Linked DNA regions of Drosophila melanogaster. Each later gene encodes a partner of the first gene's protein in a complex. Each region holds a gene or a part of one and is shown on either strand. Other genes may lie near its edges.

What was found.
Region 2: Br140 (region 1) and Eaf6 share a complex: the UniProt entries of both Drosophila melanogaster proteins name them as parts of the enok complex.

What each region holds. Positions count from the first base shown.
Region 1 is NT_033778.4:7,276,249-7,279,848, reverse strand, and holds the start of Br140 (Bromodomain-containing protein, 140kD), read left to right. Parts: upstream 1-1,747; 5' UTR 1,748-1,966; coding exon 1,967-3,110; intron 3,111-3,176; coding exon 3,177-3,600. Other genes in the region: Incenp (inner centromere protein), read right to left, coding at 1-742, 808-988, 1,052-1,120. UniProt on the Drosophila melanogaster protein: Scaffold subunit of the histone acetyltransferase (HAT) Enok complex which has histone H3 acetyltransferase activity.
Region 2 is NT_037436.4:5,603,031-5,613,617, forward strand, and holds Eaf6 (Esa1-associated factor 6), read right to left. Parts: upstream 5,271-10,587; 5' UTR 5,204-5,270; coding exon 5,057-5,203; intron 4,990-5,056; coding exon 4,776-4,989; intron 4,654-4,775; coding exon 4,522-4,653; intron 4,436-4,521; coding exon 4,251-4,435; 3' UTR 4,132-4,250; downstream 1-4,131. Other genes in the region: TM9SF3 (transmembrane 9 superfamily protein member 3), read right to left, coding at 42-599, 658-768; mthl2 (methuselah-like 2), read left to right, coding at 1,864-2,376, 2,440-2,593, 2,656-2,832, 2,893-3,144, 3,209-3,380, 3,442-3,636, 3,693-3,786. UniProt on the Drosophila melanogaster protein: Component of the Enok complex which has a histone H3 acetyltransferase activity. Might be involved in transcriptional activation of selected genes.

The DNA.
Region 1 (3,600 bases):
GATCGCTCCTGAACCGTTCGCGAATCGCTGCTACACTTGCGCGTGCGCGACGAGACTGGCGAGCTCTTGTCCAGGTCGCTGAATCGTTCCACCTTTATGGGTCGGTGGCTTTCCACGTCCTTCTTCTTCTTGCGGACCTTCTTGGAGACCTCCGTGGATGTCGTCGTGTTGCTGGCCACCGTATCGTCCGGTCGCGCTGCCTCCGTTGTTACAGAGGAGACGGTGGTCACATTTGCCGTGGAGACCGCATTGGTTAACGGGGGCACTGCTTCGGTACTGAGTTTCTCGCGCTTTACCTTCACGCGGAGTGTCTTCGTGGTGTTCACGTCCTCTGTGACTGAGGCCTCCTCCGGAGGCTTTTGCTGCTCAGCTGTTTCTGCTGCTGGCTCTTCTAGTTCCGGCTCCGCTAGTTTATTTTCCTCTAACGCCTGTGCACTGGTGAAGCTGTTAAACTGGGAGACTCGCTGCTCGCTCTCAACCTTGACCTTTACGAGCTCCTCGCTGCTGGGCCGCCGCATCTTACGGTTGAGTGAGGGCTCCTTGAGTAATTTCTCGGTCTTCAGCTTAGCGGCTCGCTGTGGCCTTCCGGAGCCGAGGGTGGTGTCCGCCGAGACGGGCACAGGCGGAGGCGGCATCAGCGAGGCCGTGGAGTTGTGCTCGTCCTCGGCGATAGCCAGCAACTGGGAGTTGCTGACCCGAGTGCTTTGACGGGCCGACGTGTTGTTGGCCGTGGCGTCTGGAGCTGCTCAAATGGAATATCACAGGGGTTGTTGGTCGTTAATGCTTTAAAATGGCCAGGATACTCACCCTCGGGCTCATTCTGATCCTCGGCCAGTGAGGTGAGTCGCTTGGGGCGCTTTTTCGTTTGCTGCGGCGTCACCGAAGAGTTCTCCTGACTCTTCGCTGCCGGAGCACTGTCCCTCGGTTTGGCCTCCGCCTCCGGCTGGCCTGTGCCGTAGAAGAGGTGGTCCAGCTCCTCAAAGTGGGCCTAAAAAACACATATGACGCCATGTTGACAGTGTCGGAATTTCGTCTCCTGATCCTGGCTTACCTTGCGCAGGACCTCGAGCTCCCTGCGCAGGTCCGAAAGCGAGCCCAGCACGCCCAAGATGTCCTCCATATCTAGCGACTGTATCTGACAAACTGCAAATCCGGATTCGGTTCCTTCGATTTTATCGTTTTTTTCAAATGGCGGCAATTGCGACGCGCGTCAGCATTTGATAACATGCCTTTAATTGTGCACTGTTGACAGTTAACAGCTCGTCGGGTGCTGTAAGGCGCATTTATGCCTCTGCTTTCCAACACTGCACGGGCGATAAAGTTCCCGCGCAAAATGAAAAACACAACCAAAACTTGTTTTTTGAGTGAATATTGGGAGATATTTATTTGAATTCTTTAAAATAATATTATTGGGTTATTTAAATAGTTACGTACTGGATTTCTAGCCCTGTAAATTTTGAAAGTATAACATTAGGTGAACCAGTTCCAATACGTTCCCGCCACTACCATCTCTAGAAAGCAGTGCTGCACGGCTCCCCAAAAAACATATTGTAAACAAATTTGAGGGAAAATGGTAAGGGAAAGAACAAAAAGGAACATTTAAATTATAAATATAGATTACGGAAGAGAATTAATTTGCGTAAAGGACCGGAAATATTTCAAACAAGTTTCAGCAAACGTCCAGTGCTGCACAAGCACTTCCGACGATAGTATCGCCATGGCGAGCTGACCAGCAAGCCCATCTCTAGCACATTTGTTAAAAAATTTGCAACAAGCCAACGAAAATCGACCAGGAACGGTGGACAGCCAAAACCGCGCGCTCTGCGACGACCACCGTGGGATGCACATACGTATGCGCAGCCGTGCCGCGGAGTAGACACAGTGCCCGCGATCCGCGACCAGCGAACCGCCAAACCCCGAGAAGCCAGCTGCAGCAGATCCACAGATCGCGCCGCAGATCCAGATCATGGGCCTCGACTTCGACGCAGTGGAATACTGCAAAGGGGTGAAGACCCAGCAGTCCCAGCCGCCTTTCGCCTGTCCCGTCCGCGGCTGCGACCGCAGCTACAAGACCATCATGGGTCTGCAATACCATCTTATGAAGTACGACCACGACAACCCACAGCCGCTCACGCCCGTGCTGACTCCGAGCCGCAAGAAGGCGCGCTCACGCTCCGGCGGCCACCACTCCACGCCTCGTCCGCACAAGGATCACCCCACGCCGGGTGGCGGTGGAGCTGAGGCCAGAAACGGCTGCTCCTCGGCCAGCGCAGGAGGTGGATCGGCGAGCGGAGTCAGCGCCCGGCAGTACGCCAATCCAGAGTCACTGGTGTCCTACAACGAGGAGGAGGCCACGGTGACGTTTAACTTGGACGGGAAGAGCGTGCGCCTGGGCATCGACGACGCCTTGCCGCTCGTAGAGGACGAAGAGTTCGCCGCCCTAGTGGCCAGGGGCTGTATTCTGAATGCCGACGCACCACCGCTGGAGGAGAACGCGCCCTGGGCAAGGGTCCAGGTGCCCGTGGCCAGGGTGGCCGAGATTCCGGACTACCGAGTGTCCGACGCCCCGCCACGGCCGCTGGCCTACTATCGCTTCATCGAAAAGTCCCTGGAGGAGCTGGACGGGGAGGTGGAGTACGACGTTGACGAGGAGGACTCCGCCTGGCTGGAGCACATGAACGAGGAGCGCCAGCGACTCGGCCTGAACGCCGTGGGCATCGACACGATGGAGCTGCTGATGGACCGGCTGGAGAAGGAGTCGCACTTCCAGGCGGCGGCCAACGGCACACCCACAGGCGTCGAGGTGGACGACGACGCAGTCTGCTGCATTTGCCTCGACGGCGAGTGCCAAAACACCAACGTGATACTTTTCTGCGACATGTGCAACCTGGCGGTACACCAGGACTGCTACGGTGTCCCCTATATCCCGGAGGGCCAGTGGCTGTGCCGCCGATGCTTGCAGTCACCCAGTAAGCCTGTGAACTGTGTGCTCTGTCCCAATGCGGGCGGCGCATTCAAGCAGACGGACCACGGGCAGTGGGCGCACGTGGTGTGTGCGCTTTGGATACCGGAAGTGCGGTTCGCCAACACCGTCTTTCTGGAGCCAATAGGTGCGTAGCTCGATCTCCCAGTTTCTTTGATCCCAGTTCCAAATAACATCTGAGTTCTTTTTATAGATTCAATTGAGACCATTCCCCCCGCTCGTTGGCGACTCACCTGCTACGTGTGCAAGGAGAAGGGCTTGGGAGCCTGCATCCAGTGCCATCGGAACAGCTGCTACGCCGCCTTCCACGTTACATGCGCACAGCAAGCGGGCCTCTACATGACCATGGACACGGTTAAGGACGGGCACAACGATTCGTCCATGCATGTTCAGAAGTTTGCCTACTGCCACGCCCACACGCCGGCCGACGCCAAGCTCAAGATGAACGTGCCTGACTTCGAGGACACGCGTCACAAGATGAAGGAGGCGCGCAAGGCGTTGGCCAAGAAGCGCTCCACAGCGCCCGTGGTGCTGATTCCGACTATTCCGCCGGACCGCGTTCAGGAGATAGCAACAATGGTTACGATGCAGCGCAAGAAAGAGTTCCTTGACCGCAT
Region 2 (10,587 bases), on another chromosome or scaffold:
ATTTGAAAGTTGTGGAGTAAAACTAGTTGAACTATACGCACCCTGTGCTGGAAGAAGTTGGGATCCAGGTACTTGTCGAATCGATTCTTGAACTCCACCTTGCTGGGCTTCCAGTTGACCTCGTAGGAGAAGTTGATGTGGGATCCCGGCTTGAGTTCCTCGCGGCCCTCGGTGGTCAGGGTGATATCCACGATTTGCTGGCCATTGTAGCCGATGTCGAACTTCTTGTGCGTGAAGATATAGTACTTGCCATCGCGCTCGTCGCGCTCACCGACTTTTCCCCAAATGGGCAGTCCATCGATGTACATCTGGTACCAGTACTCGTTCTTCACGGCATAGGTGAATGCCTTGGCGCTCTCCTCCTGCAAGGTGACCATGCAGATGACCGATTTGGGGGCGTCGCTCTTGAACTCCATCTCGTAGCCACTGAACTCTAGCTCGACTCCTTGCAGCGCCTCGCTCAGCGTCTCGTGGTAGTGCGATATCGAGGACTTCTGGCCACTGCAAAAGGGGAGAGAGAAGTACGCGTACGTCTCCTGCCGATTGTGGTACGGGCCCACCGTGTTCATCCACAGTACCACCTCCTCCCGGTCATTGTACTGCGTGGCAAAGTGGATCATGTATTCGGTGCTCGAGGGATGTGGCATCCGGACTCACCTTGTGATTGTGCTCATCTGCCTGGGAGAGCGACACGTAGCAGCTGGCGATCAGCAGACATAAACAAATTGCACGGAACGGCACCGTGGTTTGCGTGGCGCTGCTGCCCATTGTGTCTTGTGCAGGTGGTGACCTCGTTTGCGCGTCTTCCTGGTGACCTCGCTCTGCCGGCCTGATTCGGTTGCCCTCGCTGGGATTGCGTTTTCAAACAGTTTTGTGGCAAACACTCAGATTTGCCGACAGCAGAAATATTTTAGGGTTGTATCTTAGAGGTGGAGAAACATCGATGCCAACATCGATGTCATCGATGTTTTCGAAAAATCAAAAACGTCGATGTTTTTCGAGGAATCGTCGATGTTTTCAGCGCATAGAAACAGCAAAGTGTGTAAATTGTAAGTCTAAATTAATTTCCATATTTTCTAATACAATTATTAATAGCATATTGCATATTTATTGTGACTCGCCGGTGGTGTAGGCTGGTGTCTTGGAAGACATGGATAAATATCTGAAATGTAAGTTTTTTTTTTAAAGATCAATTTATTTGTTTTTTGCCAAAGACATCGAAAACATGGATGTTCGCCAACATCGATGTTTCTCCACTTCTAATGCCAACGAAAACGTGACTGGGAACGTATCGATGGGAAAAACGTTACAAAAATACCAACTATCGCATAGCGGAATCACCTTGGCGGGCTATTCGAATGTATCTCACAAATAGTTTTTAAGGAACCTACAGTCAGTACCAAATACTTAAAATTCCATTTATATTTTATTTTATGCTACAGAAAACTGATAAGCTGCATTACTTTTGAAAAGTTAAAAATTGTGTTTTTTAAATGATTTATTTATATAAATAAGCTTATGTAATACTATTGTTAATATGTAAAAAAAAAAGAATAAAAGAAAAAGAATAGTTTACCTAAGCAGTTGCTTGAATAATACATACATAATTTAAGTTTTATACATAATTTATCAACCCTCGCTCAGTAGGAAAAAAAGATGGCTCAGAAATGAGCAACGAATTGGAATGTCCGATAAGCCTTTTTTATCAAAATAATAATTTTTACATTCCCTTTTCATAACGCTTTCCCAGTTAGTTTGTGCCAATCGTAAAACAGCATCCGCAAAGTGAAGTCGCTGCTATTTTGTAGTACCACTACATTCTTATTTATTTAAGTAATATTTAAAGAATGTCCAGCTAACTATATGATTGCTAGTTCAAAAATGTTACTTTCTGCATCGATCCTAATATATTTCTTGCTGAATCTGCAATCTTCGAGTGCTGAGATTGCCGACTGCAGTTTCTATGATACCGTTGATATCTCGGAAGGCCAGAGGCTCTCGAATGGATCATACCTCTACGAGGGATTACTTATTCCCGCCCATTTGACGGCCAAGTATGAATTCAAGCTTCTGGCGAATGGAGATAAGGAGCAGGTGCCAAGTCACGTGAGAGGATGTGTGTGCAAGCTAAGGACTTGCGTCAGGTTTTGCTGCCCACATGACCACATAATGGATATGGGCGAATGCTACGCCAACATGACGACGGAGGAGAACGAATTACTGGACCCCATGCTAAATGTGACCCTGGACGACGGATCAGTGGTGCAAAGGCACTATAAGAAGGAGCTCATGGTGCAGTGGGATCTGCCAAAGCCCTGCGATGATATGTTTTACCTAGACAACCGGGATATAATGGATGAGTACACCTTGTTCGAGGTATGGCTGCTCGAAAAATAAGCATTTTTGGGCAGGATTTATTTATGCTTTGGCTCTCTGCAGAATGGAAGATTGCTGCGCCACTACGATCAAGTGTATTTGGACAAGTCGGAGTACTGTCTGCAGCACCGAACATTCGGCGAAGGTAACAACAACTCCATTCGCATTATACCCCACAACTGCTTGATACTGCCATCCAGAACGGGACAGACCGTTGGTAAGATGATGCCCATTGCTTGCATGGTAGCTCCCAGTTCTATATCTTTCCTATTTCCATAGTGATGATCACATCGTTGATATGCTTGGTTCTTACCATCGCCGTGTACCTGTGCGTTAAGAAGCTAATGAATTTGGAGGGCAAGTGTTTCATCTGTTACATGATGTGCCTATTTTTCGGATACCTGTTCCTACTCCTTGATCTGTGGGAGTTATCGCTCGATTTCTGTAAAGCAGCAGGTTAGCTTAGAGGGGATGCATTTCAACACAACTTGACAAACCATTGACCATTTACGACAGGTTTCTTGGGATACTTTTTCGTCATGGCTGCGTTCTTTTGGCTATCTATCATCAGTCGGCACTATTGGAAATGTCTTACCAATCCCTGTGCCTCGATGAACATTCGGTCAGAACGTGCGTTTCTGCTATACAGCTGCTTCGCCTGGGCAATGCCTTTGGCCTTGACCGGAGTCACCTATCTGGCTGATAACGTTGTGAACAACGAGGAGTGGCAGCCTCGCGTGGGCGACGAAGGGCATTGCTGGATCTATAGTGGGTTCTGTTTTGTATCCGGCTTGTGGTACCAGCTCACCAATGTTTTTCTTTCCACCCTCAGCTAAAAGCTGGTCTGCAATGGTGTACTTCTATGGACCGATGGTGCTCCTGATTCTCTTCAACATAACTATGTTTGTTCTGACGGCTAAACACATAATAGATTCCAAGAGGACTCTTCGAAAGATTGCTCGCAATGAAGGTAGAATACAGAAGCTGAATTCGGACAAACAGAAGTATATCAATTATAATAGTTGAAAATGTCAGTTTAAGATAAATATTATCAATTCGTTACAGTTACACACAATTTCTGCTGCTCTTCACTGTGATGGGGATGTCGTGGAGCTTTGAGATATTCTCCTACTTGGTGCAACGCGAGAAACTGTGGGTCAATATCTTTCTGGTAGCTGACTACTTCAACTGGTCCCAAGGCGTCATTATATTTGTGCTATTCATTCTGCGGCGCAAAACTCTTGTACTATTCAAGAAACAGTAAGTCTTATAGTTCATAGTTCGGGTAACCAGTTCCCTAAAATGTCTCTTTTCAGAATATTTCCCAAACAGAGAGCCTTTAGTAGATCTGCAACTCAAAGTACGATTGAATCCATTTCTCAAACAAAAAGGCATTTTAACATGACATAGTATTTTCTTCTCTTCGAATTAATCAATTTAATAGTAAAGTATAACTTTTTTTCTCACAAAATGTATGAATATATTTCACTTCATTCTACATTCTATATAGAATTCATTTAATCACAAAATGTATGAATATTTTTCTTTATATGACGTGCATCGACTATAGAAAATCGACTATAGTGTGCCACAATATATTTTACTCATCATTTCCTAATCAAACTATTGCAAACTTAACTTTGAGCCGAGGAAAAACCCTGTATGTCTATCAAAACTATGAGTCAAAAGTATGACGCGATGCTGAAAGTAGTTGCCTTTAAATATTGAAGTGATAAATGTAGAAAGAAGACATTTGTATGGAAATAAACTAAGTTTGTAAATCTACATTCGCTTTATTTCATGTACAAATTTTAATTTAAAAACTTTGAAGGTAAATAGTGCTTTATCAGATGCGGATTACACGGTAGCAGTTATCATCGATGTCGAATCTTCTTGTTTATGTGACCGCTTTTCTTCGCTGTCGCACTGGAGTTCGTGGATAGTTTGCTCTTTGTATTCGAAGTGGGTGTGCCGAGGAGATCCTTGTTCCCTCCACTGTTCGTAGATCCAGACACCATTCCGCTCACTACGCTGCCCTCATTGCGATGCGAGGGTGAATCTGTAAATAAAAAGGTGTAATTAAACATATATACTTTTCTGGAGAAAAGCGCTAAAGTTGAATCTCAATGTGCTGTGCTGCCTTACCCTTTTCGTCTTTCGGTGTGCTCTTGATTGTCGTGGTTCCGTCGTGGGCCGTTGTGGTGTTCTGATTGATTGAGATCTGATTGTCGCTGGAGTCTTCATTTGTGATGGAATCCGATTCGCTGGCGCGCTCAGCTAAAGGCGAATAAACATACTCATGTATGGCAACTAAAGCGTATCAATTTACACCCTTCTGGGCATAAAGCCTAGATCGATTACACAAGCGAATGACACAGTATGAATTATCCCCCACTTACGATTGCATATAGCCATGGAGGTGATGCTGGACTTGGAGAACAGGCGCTCGGCCTCCTTGAACTTGCGATTCCGCTTGTCGGCCTTGGAGTTGGTGGCCTTGTTGGAGGTCAGATAGCGCTCCCAGCCTCGGATGATGTTTCCGCACAACTGCGTGTCCTCTAGGTAGGAGCCCTCGAAGGCGTAGATCTGTCGCTCCAGATTGGCCAGTTGTTCCTGTCATTTATGCAACAAAAAAATGATAAAGTGCTGCGATTTCGGGTTTGTTTATATTGTGTCTCACCGATGTTTCGGCCTTCTTCTTGATGAGGTCCGCCAACTCGGCGCGAGTGTCCATGGAGCCGCCTTTCGTATTCGAGCTCGTTTTGGCCGACTTCTTTGGCTTGTTCCCGTTCGTTTCGCTGACATTTTTACTCGTTGGCGAGCTCATATTTTCAGAAAATGCTCGAATTTCAACAAATTTATATTTTGTTTTGGACAATGTGACCGGATATTGATAAAAAGTAATTACAATTAATCGATTTACGGATATCTGTTCCGACTATCGGTTTATGTCTTTGCTGAAATATGCATGCTAGTTCTTAACCTAATTGCATAGGTGGCGTTGTCGTTTTTCTTTAACAAGCTAATTTATAAACTATTAGTTTGAATGAATAAGTCTTATATTATTTGTGTATATGTTTTATAGATTCTTTAAATGTTAGTTTCTGCACTTAAAATTCAAAGTTATTTCATAATAAATCCATTGAAAGTTTGTTAATACTGCATTTATTCACTTTTGTAAGTGAATAGGACTGCCGAAATCAAAAAATAGCCCAGGAAAAAAAAAAACTGGTCAAAGAACTCAGTTACAAAACTTGATGACCATTTATTTTTGTAAGATTTTTCTTATTAGATCCATATGTTTTTTTTCACATTTTCTTAGATTTTATTTAACAGTGCTTGCCCCTTCACCACTTTGCATTTTGAAGCCAGTGTGGCTGCCATTGACCTCTCGTCTTGTTATTTTTATTTATGCGTATACCACGGACAAAAGATTCAGTTCAGCTGTAGCGCCATCATCATCGTCTTTTTGATGGTGATCTTCTAATGATCTCCCCGTGGGTCTTGCATAGTTTGTTGACCCAAGTTCGTTTCAAAGTTTGTTGAACTGCCGAAAAAAAGTGAAGCTACCGTTCTAGCTCTCTATTTCTTTCCGAACCCTCTTTCCTCTTTTTCCGCCTTTCGCTCTCTTGCCGCCTACTCTTTCTCTTTTACTTGGCTCTATTTTGGCTACCGCTTTTTATGGGCCTTCGTCGTCGCGCCTATTTCACTTTCGTCATACGCGGCGTATGCGTGATTTTATTTCTGCAGCACATCGCCTTTCGCGCTGACTATAGGAAAGCAATATAAAGTGAGGCTGCGGATGAAGACGAACTCGATTAGAAAATGAAATCATAATGCAGCGGGCAGCAAAAGCGAAACGGCAACGACCGTTGCAAGTCGCTGACTAAAGCAAAGTCTGCCATTCCGTCGTGTTCCACTAACACAATCGACTTAGTGACTAGGTGACTAACTGGCTCAGTGGCTAAGTGACCGACTGACTGACAGACTGCAGTCTATTCAATGTATGTCAAACATTGGCGCGCGCTTATTCGCGAAACAACAAAAAGTGCAGCAAAAAAACTTTCATTTTATTTAAACAAACACACAAGGCGCGGCCTGGACTTAGACTTGGAAAAACTTATTTATATTTGGTTTTAAGCAAACATCTGCCAACTGAAAACTCTGACGTTCGATCGTCTTAAGCCACCTTCTTCTGGTTTACACTGGGAAAAATATTTAGAAGTTTATTGTGGCTGTCAATAAAGATACGTTAGTTAGTTACTTCTTAATGTATTTGTAACTTCTTCGATACATTTTTATTAATATACATATATTTTTTAACTTAGTTTTTAGTTTGTTGCTTACTGCAACTGTTTTTGGTCAGTGCTGCCATTGGATGGCAGCTTACTATAATTTTTATGATGAATTGCCTGGCCGCGTGTGAAATCTGCAGCAGTCGCAGCATTGGCCGGTGGAAAAGTGGAAAACTGCCAGAAAAGTGGAACACAGCTAAAGAAGCAGCAGTGTTGCAAGTGCAACAACTGCGGCAGCAGCAGCAACACAAACACTCTCGACTAATTAGCTGCGTTTTAGAAATTCAGGCGGCAATGAAAACAAAATCGAGTTCAATGCTTGCAACGATGACGTTGTTGTTGCACTCCGCTTAGTGTGTTTTCGACTTTTCCGAGAATTTCACATATAGCATACATAGGCCGAGCCGGCGCTTTCCCAACGCCAAGCGAGTGAAAATGAGTCTGCTTCATTTTGGGCAGATAGCGAAAACTGCAAGATGAAACGTTCAGCAAGAGCAATATTTTCAAGTAGCATATTTTTAATTAAATTTAAGAACCAGATGTGCGCATTGCACTAATTCTGAATGGGTTTAGTTGGGGGATCAAAAAGGATGTACTTTCTATTAATGATAAAGTACTCAACAATACGCAGAGTCGTTAAAAAAACTTTTGATATACGAATATATAGGAATTAAAATAAACTTTTGCGTAAAAAAAAACGCCAAAAGCAATTGACAACTCGTGAAATGTCAATAAGCCATAAGAATGGGAAATACACTTTTAATATCTTAATTTTTATTTTTATTTAATTACATATTTGCTTTAAAAACTATTTTATATACAATATTTGGGATTAACCCTTGTAGGCCAATCGGTGGCATTAGTGACATCATAGCCGAGATAACAGAAATGCACTTGCTATGCATCCACACACATGCAATGCACATGCAAATGCAGAGCTTTCTAAGCTTGCTCTCTTCTTCGCTCTCATTCCCAGTGGCTCTCTGTGTGCAAAGCTCTAGTTTTTGTTGCAGCAATGTGCAAAATGCCGGAAGAAACTTGATCTTGATTATTTTCTACGTGCGAGCGAGCGAGAGAGCAGGTGCGCAAAAAGTTCAAGTTGAATGTCGCGGCCATTGTGGCGCTCTCTCGCTTGCTCGCTTCGGTTATGTATGTGTGTGAGTGCGTTTCAGTGGGGCGTCACAATTTGCACTCGTGGTGCTTTTGTTGTTGCTCTTTTGTGTGTGGGCACGAATGCATTTCAGATTTTTGATTTGTTCTAAGCGATTTGAAAGCTTTTTCTAGTCGTTGCACTTTTCGCATGCTTTATAACATGCAATGAATAGAATACACCTCTTGTGTGAGTTCCTGAAACTATGTTTTTGCTTTTTGTGGCCGCATATGTTGACTATAAGCTAGCTATTTGTTCTTACTCTCTTAAAATGTATGAGTTTTTTATACTTCCTTTGTTTGCTTGGTCCTATGAATCAATTGCAGCTAAAAAGTATAGTTTTATGCACTTAGGAAGAACTCGTTTATAAATAGTCTCGTAATTTATAAAATATTTTCATTCAAGGGAATACCATTTCTCCTCTGTTCGTCTTTGATGTCGTTTACCTCTTTAGCCTTTGAATGATTTTAATAACTTCCTTCAAAATTGTTTAATGGCTACTTGAGATTCTGTTTGTATTTCGCACCTTTTGGATATTGCCCTTGTCAAACTAATATTTTTTTTACCCATCTCTTAGGCTCACCGAACCCTTTTAGCTGTTGACCAACAAATAACGCATAAACGCAAACGTTTCGACGAAAAATAAAATAAAAACCGAAAAATGTGCAATCAAAGTTAGGTAAGAGAACTGACCTTTAACAATGCTGCACAGATCGACGACATCGTCATCGTCTCCAGCATCGTATCCCCTCACTCTCTTTTCTACCCAAAACCAAAAACACATTCACCCAATAACGTCGCCGCTGACAAACAACAAACATTCCTTTTTCAAGAGACAACACTGCAAGGCACACACCAAAAACTTTTTCAAGCTGCGCACCAATGGCAAATACAACAATGCCAACAAAACCGAAACGAAAGCCCAGCTCAGTAAAAAGAGCAAATCAGTCTAGCGACAGTCAAGACCACAAGTATATAATTTAATTGTGGCTACAAAAAGTTAAAAAAAAGTTGAAGTTCAATTTAGTGACAATAATTGAAATCTTACATACAAATTAAAATATCATAAAAGAAATTAAAGTGTAGTAATTAACCTATAAAATGCTCAACAGAAATAATCAAAGTTATAACTCCTATTATCTTGACCGCAACTGTGCGTTGGCCTCCAAGAGGCTGAGAATCAGTTAACAGAGAGCCAGACGGCTAAGAGAGAGTGGGCGGGGGAGAAAGAGAAAGAGACGGGGCGAATGGAGTGCACGAGGCGAATGAACTTTCGTGGCGCTCCGTTTTAATGCTGCCTGCGCGTTGGCATGAAAGTTATGCAACGCAACACACACACACACTCGCAAACAGAGCCACACAGAGTCTGAGCTCGGCTCTCGGCTTTTCACACGAAGCTGGACGAAGTAAGCTAACTGTTTTGCGGACAGAGGAAGCAGCAAGTGATGAAGGAGGCGACAGAGGAGGAGAGATAGAGAGACGAAAGCAGCGACGACGAGTCGTTGACTTTGCATAAGTGTGCCAATTTATAAAACAGTTCAAGATTAACGTGGCCTTCAACACCCGTTCAGAAGACAAACGCAACAACTGGCCATAATAAATACAACGAGCGAGTGAAATACATACATATATAGTGCAATATATTAGCGAACCTATAACTTTCTTATTAACTAAATAAATAGGATTAATGATTCCAAGTACCCATAAGAAAACGTTAAAAGATGTTTTTACTTTTAATAAATTCAGCAACAGTCATATCGAGCAGTTATCCTCTTTGATTATACTTAGTAAAGCATGTAAAGATTACTTTTTTTACGAAATCTATAATGCTAATGATTAGAAAAGTAGGTATGATTAAGACACCATGCAAATATTTTATTTTAAGAAATAAAGAACGATATTAAATGTTTTGAGCATCTCAAAATATAATGGATTGTTAGTATAAAATAATACCTTTCATGTTCAAACTTATTTTTGGTCATTGCGATTATCTTCTTGGGAGAATATTTTCCCCTGCGGCCCTAAATCATTTCCTTCTGTGGCCCTGTACCTTTTGGCTTTTTCCCTAGCCGCATTTGGCCCTGACAGAACATCACGAATTTGCCACGTTTTGTTGCTGTTCTTTGCTTGCAGCATTGCAATTGAGCATGCAGCAAACATTACTGTACATTCACCCACTTTTCAAAGTTCAAACACAGACACTCGAACACACACAAACACACACATTAGCGGAGAAAGAGAAGCGAAACAGAAAATTGCATTCTAACAGAGTTGCGCATGCGCAGCGTAAAATCCGATGGTCTATTGGTATTGGTGGCGCAGTTGCAGTTGCAGTCGTTGCAGAAAGAAAGAAGCGAAAAAAACTGCTTTCTCTTGCAGTCCAAAATCAAATTCGCTAAACTTTATGGCAAACTTCTAACGCAAAGAGCAAGCAAAAGAAGTTGCTGCTAGAAATTCAGGAGAATGTTTTCTATATTTCCAACATTTTCGCTATTTTGAAAACACCAATACATAGCTCATAATATATTCATATTTAAAAATAAAAATTTACACTTGTGTACCACGTTTTTACTCAATTTTTTTTAAACCTCAGCTTAAGAAATTTATTCATTATTATAAACCAAAGGTTCGAGAACCAGCACCTCGAATTTCCTAGACTCCTTTATTATCAACACAAAAACCGTTTTTAAATAGTATAGTAGTATTAGTATAATAGTAATATAAAGAATTAAAAATTATTTTAAGCGAGATACATTAGCGTCATTA